3 linked regions of the Rattus norvegicus genome follow. The protein of the gene in region 1 interacts with the protein of each later gene in a biochemical or structural test. Links are inferred from orthologs where the notes say so. Each region holds a gene or a part of one and is shown in the gene's direction. Other genes may lie near its edges.

Evidence for each region.
Region 2: the proteins of Atxn3 (region 1) and Rad23a form a complex in vitro, tested with the Homo sapiens proteins (2 studies listed by BioGRID). The link is inferred for Rattus norvegicus from reciprocal best matches to the Homo sapiens genes ATXN3 and RAD23A.
Region 3: of the proteins of Atxn3 (region 1) and Capn2, one has a biochemical effect on the other in vitro, tested with the Homo sapiens proteins (2 studies listed by BioGRID). The link is inferred for Rattus norvegicus from reciprocal best matches to the Homo sapiens genes ATXN3 and CAPN2.

Annotation. Positions count from the first base shown.
Region 1 is NC_086024.1:126,869,891-126,874,043, reverse strand, and holds the start of Atxn3 (ataxin-3), read left to right. Parts: upstream 1-1,262; 5' UTR 1,263-1,367; coding exon 1,368-1,391; exon of another isoform or gene 1,392-1,507; intron 1,508-1,541; exon of another isoform or gene 1,542-2,013; intron 2,014-2,040; exon of another isoform or gene 2,041-2,844; intron 2,845-4,153. UniProt on the Homo sapiens protein: Deubiquitinating enzyme involved in protein homeostasis maintenance, transcription, cytoskeleton regulation, myogenesis and degradation of misfolded chaperone substrates.
Region 2 is NC_086037.1:40,222,592-40,226,144, forward strand, and holds the end of Rad23a (UV excision repair protein RAD23 homolog A), read left to right. Parts: coding exon 1-36; intron 37-127; coding exon 128-261; intron 262-1,916; coding exon 1,917-2,081; intron 2,082-2,160; coding exon 2,161-2,274; 3' UTR 2,275-2,569; coding exon of another isoform or gene 2,570-2,650; 3' UTR 2,651-2,952; downstream 2,953-3,553. Other genes in the region: Gadd45gip1 (large ribosomal subunit protein mL64), read right to left, coding at 3,437-3,553. UniProt on the Homo sapiens protein: Multiubiquitin chain receptor involved in modulation of proteasomal degradation. Binds to 'Lys-48'-linked polyubiquitin chains in a length-dependent manner and with a lower affinity to 'Lys-63'-linked polyubiquitin chains.
Region 3 is NC_086031.1:96,705,025-96,708,669, reverse strand, and holds part of Capn2 (calpain-2 catalytic subunit), read left to right. Parts: intron 1-580; coding exon 581-699; exon of another isoform or gene 700-839; intron 840-1,238; coding exon 1,239-1,372; intron 1,373-1,734; exon of another isoform or gene 1,735-1,875; intron 1,876-2,348; coding exon 2,349-2,517; intron 2,518-3,427; coding exon 3,428-3,511; intron 3,512-3,645. UniProt on the Homo sapiens protein: Calcium-regulated non-lysosomal thiol-protease which catalyzes limited proteolysis of substrates involved in cytoskeletal remodeling and signal transduction. Proteolytically cleaves MYOC at 'Arg-226'.

The DNA of each region.
Region 1 (4,153 bases):
AGCTTCTGTAAACTCCAGGCCAGACATCTATTACTCACAAAAGTACCTTATGTTGCACAGACATTTAAACTCATTATTCCCCAAATTAAACCCTTGTCTTCCCTTCCCAAGACCCTGCTCATTCTGCACAGTATTTCTGGTTGGAGTATTACTCCTTCTTTAGGTGGTACCTACAGCAGACACCCACAAATCTTTCCTAACAATAACCCCTTTCACCCCAGTTCCTCACCAAAGTCTTCTGAGTCTGCTTCCTGAAACTTCAAATTGGTCTCTCTCCATTCTCAAATCACTACTGGAGTTCTGACCACCATTGTCTCCTCATTTCTCCCAAAATGCCTTTCAAGTATTCTGTTCCCCAGTGATCTTCTAAAATTCTAATTTGACCCCATGTCTCTAGTTTTGAAAATCTGTAACCTCCTGTAGGTTTTTTGTTTGTTTTGTTTTGTTTTTGGTTGGGAGGTGGCGGGCAGGATCGTCCTAGAAACCCTGGTTACAGGCTGCCACAGTCCAACACAACATACTCCTCCTACCTTCAGGTGCAAGGATTAGGAGAATGAGTCTTTGTACCCAGTTTCTTTGCTGACTTTGAAGAACCTAAAATGGTTCCACCACACAAGATCCGCGCCCAAATAACACTTAATCTTTGTCAATCCCTCCCCCACCCCCGGCGCGAGCCACTCAACATTTTACTGGACTTTTCACTTCCCCATCGACGCTTCCTCCTTCAGATATTGTACATTTATCCTGGGACCTGATACTCATTCCGACAGGCAACTGTGTTGGACACTGTGCTATTCTAATTTCTTAGTGCCTACATTTCTTCATTTGTATAATAATATTACAACATACACACACATCAAAAATGCCGCATTAAATCGCACTTAGAAGTGGACTATTATAAGTCAGCCCTAACTAAATACTAGCTATAGTTTTCACACAAATACTAGGTATTGGGAGAATGCCTTTTTTGGAATGAGGTTTTCAGTGGGAGAGGAGGTATTACACGTAGTTGAGCAGAAAGTACCAAAAAAGGTGGAAATGGAGAAAAAAAAAAGAACCTAAAACCTGGCTGCGAGGATTCTCATCTAGAACCCTAGAATCACAACATTGTCTAGCGTAGAGAAGTTCCTCCGCACAGCAGGCGGCGCCGCAGCATCACACACGCGGCGGGAGGACCAGCGCCGCCCAGGTCACGTGTCCCGTGCTCCCCGGCTCGCGTGCCGCGTGACGTGCGCCCGCAGTAGTGATTGGGTGGCGGGAGGCACGTGGGTAGGGCGGGGCGGGCCGGGGCGGAGGGGTGGGGCCGGGGGCGGAGCTGCTGGAGGGGGCTGCTCCGCGCCGGGGCCGTTGGCTCCAGACAAATAAACATGGAGTCCATCTTCCACGAGAAAGTGAGTGTGGGCGTTCGGTGGGGAGCCGTCCGCGGCTCGGCGGCGGGCGTGGGGAGCAGCGTCGCCGCTTCAGGAACTCAGGCGGGGCCCGAGCGCCCCCATCCCGACTTGGCTGGGTGAGGGGTGCTTCCTGCCTTCCCCCCATGGCACCGTTCATGAAGCCTCCCGCATGCGTCTCCGGCACCCTCACCCTAAAAGACCGGGCGGGTAACCTGGGCATTTCGGGGGGCTTCATCCGGAGGATTAGCGCGGGCGTTTCTTGTTCACTTGCCACGCCTTTTCGGGTTTCTTCTATCTTCTCTCCTGTGGTCTAGTCTAGCGAGACGCCTTTCCACACCTGACGGACCCTTCCCAACTCCACCCACTCCCCCTGACCTATCCTCTGGCAGAACCAACTTTCTCTCTCAACTCAGTTCTATGATGGAATGTCCCATGCATTTAGATCTTGGTGATCTATCCCACGTCCTTCTGCAGTTGTGACCGTGGCTCTCCCATTGAAGGGCCTGACACTTGGGAAGTAAAGTAGGAAATCCCGGAGGGAAGTCGTCATAAGAGTTTTTATTACGGGATGTTTGGGCTGCTCTCCCATTTTTCCGGACCAGGAGGCCAGCTTTGTTTTTAGGTATTATGGATAGATTAGAATCTTTCTACTGTGTGATTTGGCTAGTCTCTTCCTCACCTTAATTCCTAAGTGACTACGCTTTACAGTATTGTGACATCTCGAGAAACTGGTCTATGCTCGCATACAATTATCAAGTCATTTGGGTGTTCCTCGGACAACTTTGGCATGATTCCGTGTTTCATAATCATTTTAGGTTTGGAGAGGGTTGCTAGTTGAGACTATTATTACAGTTGGAGCAAAGGCCTTTGTTTTTATCATTTGTAAAGGAGCATTCATTCACAACGTTTAAAGTCCATGCACGACAAAAGAAAGACAAAAATGCTGTAAATCTAAGGAAGTTGTTAAATGAAAGTGTTCTTAAGAAGACCTTTCATAGTGTTTTTGGAACTGGAACAAGTTAGTTTGTGACAAGATTTCTTGTAGCCCAAGCTGGCCCCAAACTCTCCATCCTACTGTCTCTGCCTCCTGAGTGCTGGCTGGGATTATGACCATGTGCCCTGACTCTGAGTGCGCCACCCCCTCCCCCACTCTTTTGTAATTTTCCAAAGGCTTTGGGATAAAGTCCATTTTAAACATGTTATACTCTTTGGGATAAAATCCATTTTAAACATGTTATACTTTATACACTGTTTTGTGAGACTCCTGCCATGTATTCTTAAAAGAAAAATGCATGTGCTTGTGTGGAGGTCAAGGATGACTTGATAAAGTCTGTCCTCTCTTTCCAACTTGGTGTGGATTCCAGGTGTCTGAGGCTTTGGCAGCAAGCTCCTTTACTCTCTGGGTCATCTTTAGGGTGAATGAAGGAAGAAATGGAAAGGACATGACTTCTAGGTATGGTGAAGGAGAAAGTTTATTAAAGAGATGTGGGAGAGCATAGCCTGGGGCAGACACATTTGGGAGACCCCAGAGTTGTCATGACCCTGAACCACATGGGGAGAGGGAAAGGAAATACAGCAGCCAGGAGCCAAAGGTGCAGAAGTATACCAAAGAGGTTGGGTTACCAAAATACATGAATTACATAGGCAAGGACCACTAGGGGAAGGGCAGCTAGGCCATGGTCTGGAGAGTTCAGGGTAGAGAGTAGGTATACCAGCTATACCCTGGTATAAGTAGGGACTAAGGGATGCTGGGAGAACCTGGAGTTCAGGTCCGCTTTGATATGTTAAATAGGTACCTCTGCCACCTACCATCCTGGGATTGAAGCTCAGCATAGGGCTCTTAAACAATACACTAAAAAATATGTATTTTTTTGCTGGCAGGGGTGGTAGGCCTTTAACCTCACACTTGGAAGGTAGAGGCAGGGGAATCTCTAGTGAGTTCAAGGCCAGCCTAGTCTACAGAGAGAGTTTTAGAACAGCCAGCTCTATACAGAGAAACTGTCATGGAAAACAAACAAAAAAATTGTATTGGTGTTTACTGTTGTGTATGTCTGTGCACTGTGTGTCTGTTGCCCACTAAAGCCAGAAGATTCCCTGGAACTGGAGTAACAGGCTTGTGAGTAGCTGTGTGGGTGTTAGGAGTTGAACCGAGGTCATCTGGAAAGCCAGCCTGTACTCTTAACTGCTGAGCCACCTCTCCATCTCCCTCAATACCTTCTTTTTTTTTTTTTTTCTTTTTCTTTTTCTTTTTTCTTTTTTTTTTTGGAGCTGGGGACCGAACCAGGGCCATGCACTTGCTAGGCAAGCACTCTACCACTGAGCTAAATCCCCAACCCCCCTCAATACCTTCTTGACAATATTGATTGTTCCTCATTTGAGCAGATTTCAGTGAAGGTAACTACTGAATCAGTATATCCAAAATGCTAGGCTAACAAAGACTTACTCAGGCCAAGGATATGCCTCACCTGAATAGTGCTTGCTGTGTAAGCATGAAAACCAGAGTTCAGATCCCAGTGTGTGTTTGTATCCCCAGTACTTGAGGCAGGGAACCGAGCCAGGTGGGTTTCTGGTTGCTGACCAGCCAGTCTAGCTGAAATCAGTGAGTTCTAGGCTCAGTGAAAGACTATCTCACAAAATAAGGTGGAGCGCAACTGAGGAAGGCATTTGACTTGGACCTTTGGCACACGTATGTATATCTGTGTGTACACATAGACATGAGAACACATATACAAACACGCATGTGCAGATACATACATCTGCTT
Region 2 (3,553 bases), on another chromosome or scaffold:
AAAGCCAGGCGCCCGAACAACCGGCCACAGAAGCAGGTGAGCTGGTTGGATGGTGTACTCGTGGGCATCTCCAGTCTGGATTCAGGAGCCCCCGCAGGGGTCTGACCACACTTCTTCCTGCCACTAGCAGGGGAGAACCCCCTAGAGTTCCTGCGGGACCAGCCTCAGTTCCAGAACATGCGGCAAGTGATTCAGCAGAACCCGGCGCTGCTGCCTGCTCTGCTCCAGCAGCTGGGCCAGGAGAACCCTCAGCTCTTGCAGGTGCGGCCCAGGGTGAGGGAACTGAGACAGATGCCTTTCCAGTTCCTCAGGGGAGCGAGTGCCCAGGGACATAGCTTTGCTCTGAGAAAGCAGAACTAGCATAGGCTTTGCTCCTTTTGCTCCCTGATGCCTTCTAAGGTTACGTGTAACTCCCCATGAGGTGTGGATGCTGTAGGCACCCACCTACTGAAGACATCGGAGGCTCAGAGCAGGCTGCCATGTCTGGGCCCTGGACTCTGGCCACAGCATTTTTCTGAGTTCCTGGTCAACCTGAAGCTCTTCTTCTGTTCTCCAGTCCTGGCCTTCTTCCTGATATGACCTTCACCTTGACCCTCTGTGGTGACCTAAACCTGTATATCACACCAGATCCCTTGGGACCCTGGACCTCTTGAGTTTTCAGGCCATTCTGCTCTGATTGCTCGAGCCTCTCACAGCCTCCTGAGGACTATCTCTGCTTCTATCCCAGTGTCAGCCATTTCTCCCACCTGGTGTCCCAGCGTCCTCTTCTCAGGCCTCTTAAGTCTACACAGTGCCTCAATGAACTGTCCACCTAGAGGCTAGATTGCTGAAAAGGCCCTTTTTAATGTGAAAATTGTCAGATGTTTGAAGAAGCAAAGGGCTACATCAGAACCTCCTGATTTCCAAGTAGAGTGTATTTAACCAGAGTGGCTGGTTGTAGTAGTGTACACCATTAGGCCTGCACTTAGGAAGCTGAGGCAGGAGGATCATTGAACTTGAAGCCAGCTCCTTCTAGTAATGAGATCATCTCAAAAAAGAGAAAATAGAATAGGTTGTGTAAATTGAGTGCCTCACTAGCTGACTGCTGCTTTTAGCAGCTAAGGCCAGGTTTCCTTGCAACATGGCAAAACAAAGTGGTCAAGTAACTCCGCTGTTGGCCGCTGTGGCTTCCCACTGCTAGGGGAGAAAGTTCAGCTTTTCTGTGCTGTCTTGCCACAGAGTTCCTCTGAGACTTGCCCAGTAGATCCACCCCAGGGCATTTTATGGGTTGTTCTACCACGGACAGTAGGCCCCTCTTACAAGGCCACAGGGACATAGCTAGCACATTTGCAGTCACTTGGTTTGAACTTTTTTTTTTTTTTGGTTCTTTCTTTCGGAGCTGGGGACCGAACCCAGGGCCTTGCGCTTCTTAGGCAAGCGCTCTACCACTGAGCTAAATCCCCAACCCCTTGGTTTGAACTTTTTGTTTTGTTATTTTTTTCCCTTTAGTCTTACTGTGTAGGTTAGGCTGGCTTAAAGCTCATGTTGATTCTCCTGCTTCAGCCTCCCAAGTGCTGGGATTATAGTTAGGAACCCCCATGCCTAGTTCTGGCACATTGGTTTTGTTTGTTGAGATGTTGTCTCACTATGTAGCCCTGACTGCCTTGAACTCTTCTGTAGATCAAGCTGGCCTTAAACTCAGATCCACCTGCCTCTGCCTCCCCAATGCCGGTATTAAAGACACTGCCACTGTGTGTCTCCCCACCTTGCCACCTCAGCCCTACCTGAACAGCTTATTCCCATGGCTGCATGGCTATTCAGCCAGAGCATGCAGCGTCAGAGTACCTGACACTTTGGTATAATAAGCAAGGGGTGTAAAATGGAACCTGGGCGTAGGTGACAAGGACTGTGAATTGTCACCCTTCTTCTTCTCACAGCAAATTAGCCGTCACCAGGAGCAGTTCATCCAGATGTTGAATGAGCCCCCCGGGGAGCTGGCGGACATCTCTGATGTAGAGGGGGAGGTTGGTGCCCTAGGTGAGGAGGCCCCACAGATGAACTATATCCAGGTGACACCGCAGGAGAAGGAAGCTATAGAAAGGGTAAGAGGCCTGGCTAACGAGCCACTCATGGTGGGCAGCCCAGTACCTCCCCCTTCTTACCCTTGCCATCTCCCCACAGCTGAAGGCACTGGGCTTCCCGGAGAGCCTGGTGATCCAGGCCTACTTCGCGTGTGAGAAAAATGAGAACTTGGCTGCCAACTTCCTCCTGAGTCAGAACTTTGATGATGAGTGATGCTGGGAGGCTAGAAGGCCCCCACCCCACTCCACAAAAGTTTATAAGAGAAAAGTATATATATATATATATATATATATATATATATATATATATATATATATATATATATATATATATATATCTCACATATATATATATTCATGTTTATTTAAGAGGAAGAAAAATCAAAAACCATTAAAAAAAACAAAAAAAACAACCCACCCAGCCCAGCTTCCTACCCTCCTGAAGTGGCCCCTATTCCCATCTGTCTGAGAAGACCTGGGCCACACAGCTGTCCCTATCCTCTCAACAGAGCCCAGCCTGCCCAAAGTTGTTGGCAAGACCAGGAAGCGACAGATGGGCCCCTCTTGGCCTCTGTCCCAGCTCCCTGTAGCCAGATGGAGAGGCGCCTGCCTGTTTCCCCAGCCCCTGAAGCATCCCCAAGGACAACCCTCCTTCCTCTACCATGAGGGGAAGCTGGAGCCCTAAACCTTTATCTCCATTGGAGTGGCCCCGATCTTCCCATCTGGAGTAAGGCTGTTAGAAGCCCAAGGCCTTCTCCCCAGTCTCGCCTTGGCCTCCAGCCTGGAAAAGGGGTAACATCAGTTCTGAAGGCCAAGGCCACCCCTTCCCCAGGACAGAAACACCTCTGATAAAGGTTTTGAAGTGAATAAAGTTTTAAAAAATGAGCCCTAATAATGGTTCATGCCTACTGGAGCTTCTCACACCTGTTTGTGAGTCTGAGCTGGCCGGGGCACAGGTGAAGTGGGCATTCGGAGAAGTGGGGAAGGAGCCTATGAGGGGGGTCTCAGAATCTCTGCCCTCTGGAAAGTTGGGCCCCTGCCCCAGCTCAGCCCTAGAATGGCTGCTGCTCCTTCTATCTGTAGTCTGTTTGGCTGTACTCCCCCTGGTAATTGGCTAATTACTGGAGATTAATGTTGGTAAACAGAAGCCTCCTCTACTGCCATCTGCTCCGTCATTATTTGCCCATCCAGTCTCCTCTCTCCCCAAGCCTCAGTGCATGACATGGCCTAGTGTCCAGGTGTGAACACAGCCTAGCAGAGGGATTCTCCTACTCCAGGTGTTGGGGAATGAGCCAGGGGACCCAGGAAGTCACAACCTGTGGGAGAATGTGTAGAATGTGGGCTGTCAGCAGCTGGCTTTATTGGAAAAGGAGCTCTCAGGAGCTGGGTTTACCAGACGCTGCTGAGTCCTGGGCTTCAGCAGAATCCTGGCCTTCAGCAGAGGCCATGGCAGCAATTCGAGCCTCCTTCTTCTGTCGCTGCCTTTCTTCCTT
Region 3 (3,645 bases), on another chromosome or scaffold:
GCATCTCTCTCCTTGTCTCTGAATTCTTGTAGGAGATGGGCAGTGTTCAGCCCCTCCTCGTCGACTGCTGCATTTTCTCCCTCTCATTCAAACTCCTCTCGGAAACCTCTTTTTTTTTTTTTTTTTTTTTTTGGTTCTTTTTTTTTCCGGAGCTGGGGACCGAACCCAGGGCCTTGCGCTTCCTAGGTAAGCGCTCTACCACTGAGCTAAATCCCCAGCCCCTCGGAAACCTCTTTTCACTGAGGCCTCTTGTTGCCCTGTTAAGTTCGGTTCGCCCATAGATGGGCATAGTTCCTGTGTGTGAGCACAGGGCCAGGCTCTAACGACACAGTTCAGCCATCGCAGAGTTCTGAGTTTCTCAGACAATGAACCTCTCTTGTATCTAGCCATCCACACATGGCGTTTCTCCATCAAAATATCCACCAGACCAGGTGACCTATCCCGTAGTTGAAGACTGTCTGAAACACTGCTCCGTCTACTCCAGGGTAAGGTTGGGTTTTAAGCACCCAGCTGCAGGAACAAGACTTCACAGCCTCCGGGAGCTAAGACCTGACCAGAGCTCATGGCTTTGCATTCTCAGGGGACTGCTGGCTTCTGGCTGCCATCGCCTCCCTCACCTTGAATGAAGAAATCCTGGCTCGAGTTGTGCCTCTAGACCAGAGCTTCCAGGAAAACTATGCAGGCATCTTCCATTTCCAGGTAACTTAATGGTTGGCCAAGGCACCTCCCCGTCCTGGCTCAGGGACTCAACAGATTCCTCCAGCTTGACTTTGCTCCTCAGCTTCCTGGTCCCTGGTGGTTTGAGAACTCTGGGGGTCAGTTCTGTTCTGCAAAGAATGCTGGAAGAGAGAAATTTTCCCAACCTGTCCACCATGTGGAGTCCCATCATCAGAATGGCTGGGAGTTGGGGGTGGGGAGAGTCCATGGAGGTAGATCATGGTGTACAGGAAGTAATGTGTTCAGGAAGTAATCCCTAAGTTTTTAAGTTTATTATTTGAGGTTTGAGATAAAAGGTTAAAAGGCTTCCTTTCCCTGATAGCAAATGAGAGATGGCATTTTTAAAGTGTGTGTGGCTTTGGAGACCTACATTGAGCTCCACTGGCCTCTTGCTTGGTGAGGGGCACGCTTAACATAAGACACTGAAGAGAATCATGGGAACTTACAACAAGGGGCTGGGCCAGATGAAGCCAAGGCTCGGAGTCCCAGCGCCACCCTCTCTTGTCCCCCATGCCCTGCAGTTCTGGCAATATGGCGAATGGGTGGAGGTGGTGGTGGACGACAGACTGCCCACTAAGGACGGGGAGCTGCTCTTTGTTCATTCAGCTGAGGGGAGCGAGTTCTGGAGTGCCCTTCTGGAGAAGGCCTATGCCAAGTAAGTAACCACGCCCTTCCCCAACACCCCATCTTGCCCCTGCTGCCCTGGACTCTAAAACAGGAGCTATTTTGGGGACTGTTTTGAGTAGACATTCTGTTCTATAAAAGGATGACTTTGGCCCAAATTGGGCTCTCAGTTCAAGGAGGCAATGTGGGCATGGGAGTTGTTCACATGATACACTGGTACAGGACGGTCATTGTTTTTGAGCAAGGGAACTGGAACATGCTGAGGCTAATTGCTCTGGCCTTAAGAACTCTGCTTCTTTGGTGGGCCCCGTTGCCTCTTAACCAAAAAGACCAAAACCTTCTTCCAATGGCAAATCTGCCCATTGCAAAGGTAGGAAAATAGTGGAAACTCACCCAGAATAAATCATGCGGCTGGTAAGAATGGTTTCCCAGTTCTAATCCTAGCTGGGCCTCACTCAGATGGCCCGAAGTTGTGCCAGGTCCACCCAGGATGTCAGCCCTCTGAAGTGGAGGTCTCAGGTGCTGGTGCTCTCGCTGCATTAAGATCGGAGTGAGTGGGTTTAGGATCCCTACAGCCCCAGGCTAGAAATGGGGCGTAGGGACTCCCTGTCCTTAGCCAAGAGAATTTGGAGCATAGAGCTCAGGGCATGACCACAGGAACCTGCTGTGTGCTTCTCAGGAAGCTGGATTCATTACTTTAGTGTCAACCTCTGTGTCAAGGCTAGAGTCAACACCAGAGGCTGGATCAGAACTAAGTCTTTCCAGCTCCAGGGTTCGGTACAAATTCTAAAACATGTCATAGCCGCAGAGGAAAAGTAACTACAGAGATAGTGCCTTGCCTTCCTGGGTACCCCAAGTTGGAGACAAAGACAAAGAGAATGAAAGCAGGGGACCCCATGAGCTCCCATGGGGGGGATCTGAGTTGGAGTGGGGTGGCATTTTCAGGGATGAAGGTGCACCCCGCAGCATCCAGGGCACTGAGTGGCAGTGTGAATTCCCTCCTTCAGGATCAATGGGTGCTATGAAGCACTCTCAGGGGGTGCCACCACTGAGGGCTTTGAAGACTTCACAGGAGGCATTGCCGAGTGGTATGAGCTGAGGAAGCCTCCTCCCAATTTGTTCAAGATCATCCAGAAGGCTTTGGAGAAAGGTTCTCTGCTTGGCTGCTCTATCGATGTAAGTCTCCATGGTCCTCTCCAAGCACTTCAGTCTGCTGTCGCTCCGAGGAGGGGTGGGGTGAGGGTGGGGTTGGGGATGAGGGGCTCTTTAAAACAAAGGTGCATTCCACTGCTCAGCTCCCGAAGCCCAGGATCACTAGGCAATAGCTCTCTAGGGGGCGCATTTGAGATAGGAACAGTGATTCCTGCCCTTCCTCCCCAGCCCACTTTGGATTCTAACTGTGCTGAATCACTCTACTCAAAGAGCGCAAGTTACACAAAGTCCCCCATCTCCCTTCTGCTGGTTTTAGCACCTTGTCCCCCACCTGCAGGGCTGTTTGAGCAGCCCCGCAGCCTCTCCTCACTCTGTCCCAGTGCTCATGGGTCCTGGCTAAGACTGCAGGGAGTACCGCAAGGAACTGTTTCTTCAAAATAGCTTTGCAGGCAAACCTCACCAGGGAAATGGAAAGTGAGCCTGACCCAAGTCCTGGCGAGGAGCTTCCCCAAGCTGGGCCCAAAGAATGGGAAGGGAGGGTTTTTAAGGAGTTGGCAACCCAATACACGGATTCTGAAGCGAGGGTAGAAATAAAAAACTGCCATCGTTGTGCAACTGAGCTGGGCGGGGTAGGGGTGCGGAATTAGAGCATCTTGGCTACAGTTCCCCCATGGGGTGTCTGTCTCTAGGCCTCCCACAGACCCTTGTCTCGAAGGTGAATCCCTGCACACCCTCCCCATCCAGAAGATGATTCCTGGGGCTTTGGGATATGCGCCAACTTGCGCCTTGGTGATCAGCAACTGAAAGCTGCTCCTCCAGGTGGCAGGATGGATGCTCAGAGTCCCCCAGGCTGGGCCCGGGTGCTTTGTGCGTCCTTCTGGGCCATTTGTATCCGGGCTAGAGCAGCCGCCGCCTATTGTCCTTGCGTTTACAGATCACCAGCGCTGCGGATTCTGAGGCCGTTACGTACCAGAAGTTGGTGAAAGGACATGCGTACTCCGTCACTGGAGCCGAGGAGGTACGGGCCCCTGCTAGTTGGTGGCTGTCCGGGGTGGGGCCTCCAGGGTGGCAGCTGCCTGGCGCGCGCTGCCCTCTGCTGGTCACAGCGGCGGCTGCAGGCGTTCTTCGGATCAGCTTTAAAAACAACCCCCA